Linked DNA regions of Caenorhabditis elegans. The protein of the gene in region 1 interacts with the protein of each later gene in a pairwise test. Each region holds a gene or a part of one and is shown on either strand. Other genes may lie near its edges. The genes, in order: F23A7.8, rrc-1 and tag-343.

What was found.
Region 2: the proteins of F23A7.8 (region 1) and rrc-1 interact in a two-hybrid assay, tested with the Caenorhabditis elegans proteins (one large-scale study listed by BioGRID).
Region 3: the proteins of F23A7.8 (region 1) and tag-343 interact in a two-hybrid assay, tested with the Caenorhabditis elegans proteins (one large-scale study listed by BioGRID).

What each region holds. Positions count from the first base shown.
Region 1 is NC_003284.9:16,211,476-16,214,181, forward strand, and holds F23A7.8 (Ovule protein), read left to right. Parts: upstream 1-1,897; coding exon 1,898-2,101; downstream 2,102-2,706. Other genes in the region: F23A7.4 (RT_RNaseH_2 domain-containing protein), read left to right, coding at 1,131-1,337.
Region 2 is NC_003284.9:9,828,140-9,832,885, reverse strand, and holds the start of rrc-1 (GTPase-activating protein rrc-1), read left to right. Parts: upstream 1-1,597; 5' UTR 1,598-1,675; coding exon 1,676-1,746; intron 1,747-2,582; exon of another isoform or gene 2,583-2,731; coding exon of another isoform or gene 2,732-2,751; intron 2,752-3,134; exon of another isoform or gene 3,135-3,219; intron 3,220-3,650; coding exon 3,651-3,800; intron 3,801-4,035; coding exon 4,036-4,165; intron 4,166-4,214; coding exon 4,215-4,298; intron 4,299-4,746. UniProt on the Caenorhabditis elegans protein: Functions as a GTPase-activating protein (GAP) for ced-10/rac-1 and CDC42.
Region 3 is NC_003284.9:16,671,642-16,676,531, reverse strand, and holds the start of tag-343 (RNA polymerase II-associated factor 1 homolog), read left to right. Parts: upstream 1-1,799; coding exon 1,800-1,881; intron 1,882-1,927; coding exon 1,928-2,067; intron 2,068-2,109; coding exon 2,110-2,219; intron 2,220-3,256; coding exon 3,257-3,389; intron 3,390-3,431; coding exon 3,432-3,591; intron 3,592-3,887; coding exon 3,888-3,970; intron 3,971-4,735; coding exon 4,736-4,845; intron 4,846-4,890.

The DNA.
Region 1 (2,706 bases):
ACCAATCGAAAGATCACATAAAATTGAAGCGGCGGAATTTTGAACTCTAAAAAAGCCATCTTAGGAATTTTCTCTTATAAATTTTTAATACGAGTTCTAGAAAACGCTGTATAACAGAGGGAGGGGAAAAATAGGGGAAAAATACGTGTAGGATGTGTTAATTCATTTAAAGTTTCTTAAGATTCAGATTTTTAAGATTCAGAACTACTACGCGATTAGAGAGAAGAAACAATTTACTCTGGACAACTGAAATTTGATAGTAGCTATTGTATAAGTAACCCATTTTGGCTATGGCTAGTGTTTAAAAAATTGTTTGAAAAAATCAATTTGGGTAGAAATAAATAGACAACGTATTGGAATTAAAGGTTTGCCTAATCTTACATGTGTACTAAAATATATAGTTCTGATTGAAAACACTTATCACCGACTTATCATTGGCCAAAATTGCATAACTGCAGAAGTGTACGTCATTATGCGCAAAACTGCCCGTTTGATGTACCAAGAATGCACCCTACCATCCTACTTACCATGGTGTACATGATAGTCGGAATATTGAAAAATACAAATAAAGTTCTTATCTTGAAGCAGTTTTACAATGAAAATTAAAAAATAATTATTAACTAGTAAAACAGTTTATATTAAAGGAGATCATACCAATATCTACAAAAACAAACAGAAAAAACATTTATAGATGTCGATTTGCAATAAAACGACCATAATTATTGCGCCGAAAAACCGGGAAGAGGACGATAGGCTGCCCAAATGTGCACTGCTATTGTCCAAAACTCTGCAACAACAATTCTTGTTTGTAGATCTTTTCTCTCGATTTCTTACTCTAGAATCTGCTCTAGAATCTGCAAACAATGCAAAACAAGTCAATATTAAACGTAACATTGCAAATTATAAGAACCTACAGTAATAATTCTCTGGTGAATTTTATTTTCCAAATATCACGCCATTTTTATGAAAGGATTGGTGAATGAATGAATATATACAGTACTACCGTACTCCTACAGTACCTCTATAGTCTCACTGCAGTACCGCGACACTACTCTGCATTCCGAGAAGTACGAGCTTGCCGCTTGCATTTATCGTTTTCCGCGAGCGGTTATGTAAATTCCAATTAAGTCATGCTGCAATGGGGCGTCGATAGCTCAGTTGGTTACAACACTGACTTGCAATCGACAGGTCACGAGTTCAAGTCCGGCCTAGTCCCCCCAGGTTTGCTCAGCCTGGAGATTGATGAGTATTCATTGGGTTGCCATCAAACCCAATGTCTTATGTCGATGGTGGTGTCGGAAAAAAATCGCATGGTCTATTCTGGAGTTGGAGCTTAACTCCGCTCCCAAAAAAAAAAAAATTTGCGTTTTCGCGCTTTTTCGTTTTCCTCAAAAACACGACATCGGTGCATTTTTTAATTCTGCATTTTTTAATTTTGAAGGTCACGAGTTCAAGTCCGGCCTAGTCCCCCCAGGTTTGCTCAGCCTGGAGATTGTTGAGTATTCATTGGGTCTTCCATCAAACCCAATGTCTTATGTCGATGGACGAAACAAAAATCGAAAGGGCTATTCTAGAGTTGGAGCTTAACTCCACTCCCAAAAAAAAATTGTTTTTTACGCTTTCGCGCGTTGTTGTTATTCTTGAAAACTCGGCATTTACGTTTCTCTCGAAAGTAAAATTTCAGTGCACTCTTTAATTCCGATATCTGAAAACCAACATTTAATAATACGGAGATATATATCCCACAAATGTTCAAAACTACAGTACTACCGTACTCCTACAGTACCCCTATAGTCTCACTGCAGTACCCCGACACTACTCAACATTCTGAGACGTACGAGCTTGCCGCTTGCATTTATCGTTTTCCGCGAGCGGTTATGTAAATTCCAATTAAGTCATGCTGCAATGGGGCGTCGATAGCTCAGTTGGTTACAACACTGACTTGCAATCGACAGGTCACGAGTTCAAGTCCGGCCTAGTCCCCTCAGGTTTGCTCAGCCTGGAGATTGATGAGTATTCATTGGGTTGCCATCAAACCCAATGTCTTATGTCGATGGATAAAACAGAAAAACGAAAGGTCTATTCTGGAGTTGGAGATTAACTCCACTCCCAAAAAAAAAAAAAAATTTTGCGCTTTCGCGCATGTACTTCTCTCCCTTCATTTTTTAAGAAGGCATTGGTGAATGAATGAATATAGTACTACCGTACTCCTACAGTACCCCTATAGTCTCACTGCAGTAGGGCTGTACAACCGGACGTCCGGTCGTCCGAACCGGACGCACATGCGTCCGGTTGGGGGTAGCTATCCACGACAGCCGACAATTTCCGAGTTTCGCCACTCACTATAAAATTGCTGATTAAGCATAGTGAGTGGCGAAACTCGGAAATTGTCGGCCGCCGTGGAAACCTACCCCAAAACCGGACGCAGTGCGTCCGGTGGTGTCAAAATCGTACGACCGGACGCCGATTTGTACAGCCCTACACTGCAGTACCCCGACACTATTCTCCATTCCGAGATGTTCGCTTGCATTTTTGATTCTGGACAATTGAAATGTATAATTTGTTTAAAATGTAAAGGTTATCGTCTTTAGAGAAATAATTCAAAACATCTCATAGATGACTAATGTTATATAATAGTAAAACTTTTCAAAATTTATTTGAATTTTTTTTCAGCCAAAAAGTGCTGAATATTCAGTTTGCTCCTAC
Region 2 (4,746 bases), 6.4 Mb from region 1:
GTAATTCTTTCTACAATTGTTCTGGCACTATATAATATGTTCTAGTAAGGTTATTTACAAGTTACAGCTCATAATATTACTAACAATTTGTTTTCCCTTTTGCACAAATACATTTTAATTGTCAGATCAACTTTAGGTATCCATATTTCTTAAATTACCAAAGAGTAGTTGAAAAAAAAGAAGCTAGAGCATATGACGGTCATTTTTGTCTGCAAGAACATTTGAACCAGCAAGCCCGTCTCACCCAATGCGGTGATAGTGTCAGGTGGTAGATTTGTATCGAGTGCTCCACAGAAGAGCAGCAGCTAAAGAGCATAGGGGTAGAAAAAGAAGAACGTATGTGTGTGTGTGTGCTTCGCCAGAATTGTGATACGTAGAGACAAGACGACGGAGATTGGTTGATGAGACGAAGAGAGAAACTCGGGACCCGTTGCTATCTTCTTTATCTTTAGACCGAAACTTTGAAGATGAAGAAGATGAAGCGTCCGGAAATATAACACACTAATAACCCTTCGTTTTATCATTTTTGACTCAAAATCATACTGATTAGCATCAATCGTTCAACCAGTTCTTTCTCATCCTTAACCATCCATGAAAATCCTGACACCTGTTGTGCCTAGAATTTGGTTTCAAATGGCTTGTACTTTCTCTCCTCCTTAACAACAGCAGCTGTCCACTGCGTTAGAAAACCGGAAACCCGGCACGGATCCGTGTTGGCTGCTGCCCCTGAAGAGCTTGGTTATCTTTTTTGCTAGGTGTCACAAGTGTTGATGAATTTTTGGAACCAACCTGAGCTTTTTTTCTTTTTGCGTTTTTTGTTCTACCCAGTCGAGTGATAAACGTTAATTGTATGTGTTCTAAAAAACAACACATTTTCCGAGAAAATTATGTGAAATTTGTGTATATTTAATCAAAAGTTTAGAAGCATAAAGAATATAATATAAAATATAAATTGCTTTATTTTATTTTTAGTTTTGGTTTTTTGTGTAGAATTATACGACCCTTTTTAAATTTTATGATAAATTTCTAATAATCCAGATAAATTTTGCTCTGGAACCATATTAAATTTGAGTGTATGGCTTCAAAACCTTCTTTTTTTAATTTCAAAAATAGAGTTTCCACTTAAAAGTTACAACATCAGAAACTCACTTCCTCACAACGTTTATCTTCAAATATCACGAAACGAGGTACATATATATCTAAAATCTTAATCATAATCTTCAGTTTTATCCTAAAACTCTCGAACAAGATGTTTCTGGCCACATGATTTTTTAACACATGTCTGAAGATTCTTGGTTGTTGGCTCCTAACAACGCCTGCCTTCCTATGTCATTGCTCAATTTTTGACAACTTCCAAACAGAACCCATATTTACTCCTTCAGTCACACGACAATTTAACTGATTTTCCTGATTGCCCCCTTTTCGTCCCGCTTTCCTAACTAAAAGCCGTCACTTCTCATTTGCCAACACAAATTGACATGATGTTTGCATGTAAATAATCGAACCGATCTATAAGCAAAGCGTGTGTTTATAACATGTATTTTTCCTCAAACACCACACGTTTACCTTTTATTCTCATGACTTCCGGTTGCCATTTTCAGGAAGGATAACGAGGACAACAAAAACTGGTAAAAACATTTGAAAAGCAACGTATTCATTTAAAGTGATGTAAAAAATGGAAGGCATCGAGGAATCATTTGCACCTTTATCTCCCAAAAGCCCATTTGCACGCAGAAACGGAAGAAGGTAGATTTTTCGAAATTTTTTAGATTTTCAAACTTTAAAAAATTTAATGATTTAGGTTTGCCAGAATCCTAATGCACTCAAATTTAACATTTCGTTTTCAAAATACTTATCTTTGCTTGCGCAAAAGATATTTTGAATAAAGATTTGAGGTCTGGAATTAACCATTTGAGCTAATCGGAAAAGAATTAAGAGAAAAACGGGCGAAACCCGACATTTAGATTCATCCAACTTGTTTCAAAAGCTTTCAAAAAAAGTATAATAATTTTTTAAGCACCGTGTTAATGATGCAGGGTGGCCTATAATTGTGGGCCATCGTGTAACGTAATTTCCCTTCTGTTGTGGAACTTTTTTTCAAAGTATATTTGAAACATAAATTTAATTTTATGTAGACAACTTCAATTTTACTGTAAAAACAACAATTCACATCATATGCATAAGAAATTGTTAAAAGAAGAGTAACAGTTTGGTTTGTTTTTTCTTCGTGCTACAACTGATTCTACAATCTGCTTAAAATAAATATTTTTACCAAGACGTCTTGAAGCAATTCTAAGAGTTGCAATACAGACCTGTCTTGTATTTTTGTTCTTGAAAAATAACTATGTGAAAGGTCTAAAATTCTCCAGTTTTACTAAAAACGTTTCGAAACATTGAATTGCTTCCAACAACCTTTTGATAAATGTCCTTCCATAAATCTAACCAGTGGCCCACATTTTGCAATTTGATTTTTCTGCAATCACTCTCTGGTCCATCTCTTTCTCCCCTTTCATCCCAATCAAAATTGAATGTTTCATCGCTTATCCGCTTGTCTACCGCCACGACCGGCGAGTGCAGCTAGCGTACGATGTAGTGAGCGTGGGATTACACACTCACCAACAGAACCTTGAGGAGAGACCTCTCGGCTCCTATCTATTCCATCTCAATATTTCATGTAATTGATTGAATGACTTTATTTTGGACTTTATCTATTCACTGACTACTTGCAAAGATGGATCCAGAAATACCAGGGTACAAAATATGTTGAATTTGTAGTAGAATGTTTATAAATCAAAAAATTCACTTACGGTCTCCCTCATTATATCCATTTATTTGCAAAAAATTTAGTTAGGTGAATTTAGAAAAAGGTGGTTTTTGTGTTTATCGGTTGCCCAGATAAAACAGTGCAATAAAATTGGAAAAATAATGAAGTGTATTGTTGTACATAAAAAATTTACTATTGGTTACAGTGCAACATCGAGTACTGTGAGTTTTTGAAAAATATTGATATCAAAAATTTATTTTTTTTACCGTTACAACAAGAATGGCAGGCGTTCGGCAATTCGCATCAAATTATCCACCAATTTTAGCAATTCAAGCAGTTTTCAACGAGATGCACATTTTTCAGAATCAGTGCCCCGGTGGCCGAGCGGTCGAAGGCGTGAGACTTATGATCTCATTGGGTTAAACCAGTCGCGGGTTCGAATCCCGCCCGGGGCAATATCCTTTTTTTACTATTAAATCAAGTTTTACCAAAGAATAACCATTAAAAGAAAAATAATTCGAACTGTACATTAAATAATTGTAACTACTTCAGCCCTTTTTAACCAAGTTTAGGCCACTATAGAAACATTTTCAGTGCAAAGTTTTCAGCGCATCCCCAACTTTAATTTATTTTACCCAACTTTAGCCAGTTTTTCACTAAATGCATTCCTAAAGCTGATAAGGTTGGTAGATATGTTGCGGCGTTCTTTCAAGAAAATATCTTTACATTTCTTCACCACAAACATTTTAATTGGAATATTAATGTTTTAGTATCAACTTTGTGAGTTGAAAAATTTTTGAAAGAAGCAAATTTTGCTAGCTGGAAATAATTCATATACTACTTCACTGTTTATTTCGTTGAATATCAACAATTTATTGTGTTTCAGTCTTCGCATTCAACGACTAGTCGACTGTCAACACTTCCATTATTCGTCTGTTGAATTGGGTCCCGTCCGTGTTGCCATCATCGCAATAAACGCTGACGAGAATGCAACAGAGCGGATAAAAATGCGTGTGGAAAGTGAATCAAATTCATGGTGAGTTGGTCATTCCTTCTGTTTCCAATTTGTCTTCAAAAATTCGTGCTCCGTGGTGTTTCTCTCGGTTTTTCTTTCAATGTTCTGCCACACAGAAATCAAACAAAAAAGCCACGAGTGAAGTCTCATGGGAGATGAGAATAAAGGCTGAATAAAGTTAGTACGAGGAAGAACAAAAAAGAAAAAAGAAAGAAAAACGGAAACTTGAAAGGTTTTCCATCATTGATTCATTCAGGCTTGTCGAACGTTCTCGGGAGGATTGGGCAGTCTTCGACAGACAGCTGCATCGTTGTGTGTTCGAACGAAGGCATTCACGACTTGACGAGCTGTTTCCTCTTATTCATCTGGAAACGGCAAAGTTCGAGGTGACGGCTTCTTTTCAAAATCACTAGTCATCACATTTGATGTTTACAGGAAGTTCTTGTCAAGTATACGGAGCGATTATCGGAACTCACTGGCAGCATTATAACGTGCTATCCTGTTCTGAAATTTTTAGAAGTAAGCGAAATTGTTTTTAACTCCAAACTTCAATTTAATTTAAATTTAAAACTGGCTATGGTTTAGACTTTTTACAGTATCTCTTCAAATTAGAAAAGTTAAATTAAAAAAGATTCGAATAAACCAAATGAACCCAAGACGATAAATATTTCATTTCAAGTATTGCAAACATTTCAGATAGGAAAATTTGTTTTCCTTTCTGACAGAATAGTAAGTCTGTATTTCAAAGAGTTATTCAATTATTTGAACCTTTCTCACAAAATTGGTGAGTTCTAGTACAACCTTGAAAAAATATCTTGTTCTTCTTATGATTTTGACACCACTCGCTCTTAACTGCAGTGCATATTTCATTTCTGTGTTTGTTTTTATTGCAAAACATATGTACAATGTAATGCACACCTACATTATGCATTAGTATCAGGACTTCGTCAAACAAGTTTTTTTTTCA
Region 3 (4,890 bases), 460 kb from region 1:
GAGCTATCTGCCCCCTCGCATTTAACTAAAATGCAAATATGCTCACTGGTGTGAGTGTCTAAACAATAAGTTTATTCATAACTGTGAAAAAGATAACCTCCGTGAAAAATTTTCTATATCCTACATACAATAGTTTTTTTTTTAATTTATTATCGTTTTCGAGCTAGTAGTCAATTTTTCAGTTATTTGGCTGAGTGTCCACCATAATATTTTTTCAAAAGTTTTTGAGTTTGTAACTATAATTATTAAACAAGTCTTGCAGAACATTCTTAACAAGCTGTACTTCACACTTTATTGCTTTCACTGTACCGTTTCACCATTCAATTTGGGAAGCGTTCGATCAAAAAGTGGTGACAAGGACACCCATACATGTACACCTTATACACTGCAATGGCGTAATAATTATATGAATCGTGTAGCTGCTGGAGGTTATCGAACAAAAAAAACAGGTTTCAATCCTACTACCAAATATGATATGTTCTCTTCTCCTCTATTATCACTATTATCACCCATCATCATGTATCATTTTTCTCACTTTTACGTCAAGACCATAACCGATTTATGACTTCTCAACGCTGATTTACAGCCAACCTAACGGAAAGTATTCGGCTATAAAATGATCAGGTATGTGTGTACGTGTGTTGACAGGAATGAGTTATCAGTGTGGTGGAATTCGCAGTGAGGAATACAATACAAACATGGTTAAATCGAAAATTTCCTGGAATTTTAGTGCTAGCTGAAGATGTTTTAAGTGCCCTAACATACAGTTTCGCAACAGGTCTTTGATTCTGATCTAGTACCGTTATACTTAAAAACATAAGCGGTAGAATAGGAATAAAATAATTATCATTGGTTTTGATGATAAGAACAGTTTTTGTTTCTTTGCGTGTGCACTTTCACAGCTCGGCAACCCCACATTTGTGACTCAACGTGTTTGTGCAAAATGAAATGTTCGATTTTTTCTACATTAGTTTTTTTTTGAAACTTTAAAATATGTTCTTTCTAACTGACGTTGAGATTAGTTCATCCCCTTTTTAACTGACGACTCAATTTATAAAATAATAACTTGCATCACCATATTATCTCTGCATAATTAAAAATGTTTCTTTTATAATAGTTTTAGTGCAGGTTTTCAGTTCTTTAGAGAATATCATCACAATTTAATTAGGTATCCCAGAATTTGCGTTAGAAAAGGAAATATAATTATTAGGAGAAAAATAGATTTTTCAAAACTTCAAGTAAGGTCGTTTGACGGCGACAATCCTTTTTCTCAATTTTTCAGCAGATTTGTTGCAGATTTTTAGTACTTTCTGAAAATAATTTTAAGATCTCAGCCAGATTTAGTATTATGGCAAATATTATTTTTTGGCGATTTTTTAAAATTTTCTCAAAATTCAAACGTAGAAATTATATTTTTCTCCGATGTTTCAAAAAAGTTTTTTTAAAACAATTTGTTTTCATCTTTTCTCGAATGTTTTTTGTAGTGTTGTTGACAATATATAAGTTATCCGAATGCTCTCTTGTTAAATTAATAAGTGCAGGGTAAAAAACTGCTTATTTCAAGGGTTAAATTTTGTGTTCTGGTTAATAGTATTTTAAACCCTACAATTTCTTTTTGCCCTATTCAAAAACTATTGCAGTTCAAATCGAAACCTTACACTTCATGAAAGTTTAACTAAACTGCGATGACCAAAACAAACATTTTGCATATTATACATTTTGTACGCCGCAACACATCCCAACTCAAATAACTGATCAAAACTTGTAGAGCACTTTCCGATACTCCTCTGCTCGAGGACATGATCTCCCCAGACTCGAAATTTGTGGGTGAAGCTCTCGAACAGAAGGATGTTAGGACTGTATTTGTCTCGGCGAAGGAAGGTTGGAGTCTTAATTATCTTGAGAATTTTACTGTTTTTTTTTTCAGACAACGAAGAACGCGAAAACCGGGTAGTCTTATTGTTAGGACCAACAAGTTCTCAAAAGTCAGAACTTATCGATTTTTTGTGTAATTATTTTTATGGAGTGGATTCAATGGATCAAAGGAGATTTCACATTTCCAATGAAGTATTACAATTGTAATATGAAAAAGTAAGTATTGAATTGCAGAAATTCAACTCGGAAACTCCTACAAAACCTGTACAGTGCTATATTTTTAACGAAACAAAAATGTCGGTTCGTCCTGTAATTCTGGATATGATCGCGTGTGGAGATACATAGTAGGTTTTTTTTTCAAAATTGGGAAAAAATCATAAAAGTTGCAAATTCCAATGAGCATAATAAATTATTCTTAGAATTAATGTTAAAACAAGAAATAGGATATCTACCGACTTTGGGTTTCTGGTACAAATTAAAATTAAATTAAAACTAAATTGGCCAAAACTTTACCATTTTCTTGAAACTTAGAGCAGTGTCAAATGTTCAAACCCAGTTATGTATTTAATGTACTATTGAATGTAGGCTCTTATTGGGAACAAAAGGACCGTCCCTCTAAGTCCCTCATAGCAGTCATAATCAAATGTACAATTTTGCTGTGGCGATGGAGAGGTCCATGTCATTTAACCACTGTCTTCTACCATTAGGCCAACAACAGGTCGTAAAATCTCGACTTGTTATCTGGTCGTAAATCAAAGTAAATGTAAACAGGACTAAAAAGAACTCTTCTTGTTTTATAAGGTGTTCAATAGTTTTTGGGGTTTCTAGGGACCTTACTTTTAGATTTCTATAGGTTTTGAATTCATTATTTCGAAATTATATGATTTAAATTATCGGCAACTCTTCTGTTCAAAATTCTAAAATTGCAAAAATTTTAATTGTTGAAGATTTCATAATAGGAGCATAGCTTACGTTTTGCATTTTCTCAGCCATTTTTTTGTGTGTTTTTTAACACTTTATTGAAAATCTTATACTATTTTGTTTTTTTTTAAATACGTGATAATCATTTTATTCCTTCCAGATAAATGATCCTAGTAGTTTAAATAGCCGTACGACGGGTGTTTCTTTTTACAAATTTAGCCAGAACTTGTAAAATCCTCCTCTGTTAGGAGCTTTTATGATGATAATATCTGTCTACTTTGGTTAATCTACTAAATTAAAAAAAATACATAATGTATTTCAATTGTTTATTGCAATGTATTTCAAAATTTTTTAACCACTAACTTTACGAAAAATGCAGAAAACTCTTAAGACAGTAATTTTTACAGTACAAAAAATATACAACTTGGATTAAAAAAATACAATAATAATTAAATTTCAGTGATGGTTTCGATTCGCCATCTTTAATACATAAATGGCTTCTTAACAATTGGAAGATGAGACTGGACGTTATTGCAATTGTGTTCTCACAGTTGCACAGAATGAGCATGCACGAAGAAGACGAACTGCAACAGGTATCTAGAACTTGACTTCAGATCCTACTTTCACATTTCCAGGTTCTCTCCAATCTTCCAGAACATGTACGCAACAGTATTGTTGTGTTCATCACAGCGTCCGACGGCTCCAGAACTTTCGAGCCTCTTTTACGAAGATTCGGTTTATCAGAGTGTCCCAAGTTCACTATCAACACGTCTTGTACATTTCAAAAACAAATGGGTGAGTGTGATTGAAATTTTTGTATTGATTCAGCGTTTGCATAGCTTTCTCGCGCCGTGTTAAAAGTTGTAAACAGACCGAATAGTTTTTGGCATTGAGTGCTCTCGATAAGAATTATCACTTTCCATCTCTCTCCATTTTTCGCCCTCTTTTCTCGTAAAACGTGACGACCATTTAAATCAAACATTTTCGGGCTGGCGAATCGCTAGAAAAATAAACTGCCAATCCGGCGATATTTGTTTTTTCCTGTACCTACCAGTGTGGGAATTGCAAAGAAAACGTTCTAATAATTTCAGAAGATCGGCTGAATGACGAACATCGGAGGAGATATTGGAAAATGTCTGTAAATCAATTCGATTCTTTCATGGAGAAAGTACAGGTACTTTTCAATGGCACTTTTTTGCCTAAATAGGAGATATTTACAATTTGGACCTGGTATCTTTTGAAGGCTTGAAATTGTTTGATTTCTCAGCCAGCTAATTGTTCAAAACTTTCAACTGATATGTAGTTGATAATTTGTAAACAAAAGTGGAGTATAGAAACGTTTTTGTATTGCCTCAAAATACTCATAATAGCTCCCAAAACCTATCGTGATGAAACATTGCAAAAAAATTCACAACTCTTTTTAACTTAAAGGTGGAATAGCGCCAGTGGGGATTTTGTCTAAATGTACTTAAAATTACCCGAAACAACCGAATATCATAATAATACACTCCAAAAATTTTAGGTTTTTCGTAATTTTCAGTCAAAGTTTTGGCAAGTTGTCAAAATTTTCAAAAATACGAGCTTTTGAGGAAATCCAAAGCAATTCCGCATGTTTCGACACCTCCGATGCTTTCATACAAAAAATTTAAACAAAATTAAAACATAAAAAATGTCGAAAAAAAATTTTTTTTTGGTCGACTTCCAAAAATATGAATGGCAAAAACTGAGTAATTTCCACTCTTTGACAGTACATAAAAAATTTTCAAAAAATGTTTGAAAAGTTTTATCATGATATTTGGTCATTTTGGGACCAAAGGAGTGGTTTTTAACAATTTCCAAACAATATTTACTTTGTGGATAGTGGTACATTTTCAGCCAAGAAGTATTGCAATTTTGGTGTCTAAAAACTACTAAACTTAAGAAAATTTTTAAATTTCAGGAAACCACCCCAATCACAATCTCGGGTCTCCCATTTGTGGATGATGGTATCTATGGAGTTCAGGAGTCTGGACAAAACTCGTCAAGAAGCAGTGTTTACTCCTCTAGCAAGTAGGTTGCAGTTCTTTTTTTTTCATTCCATTACATTTCCGCTTT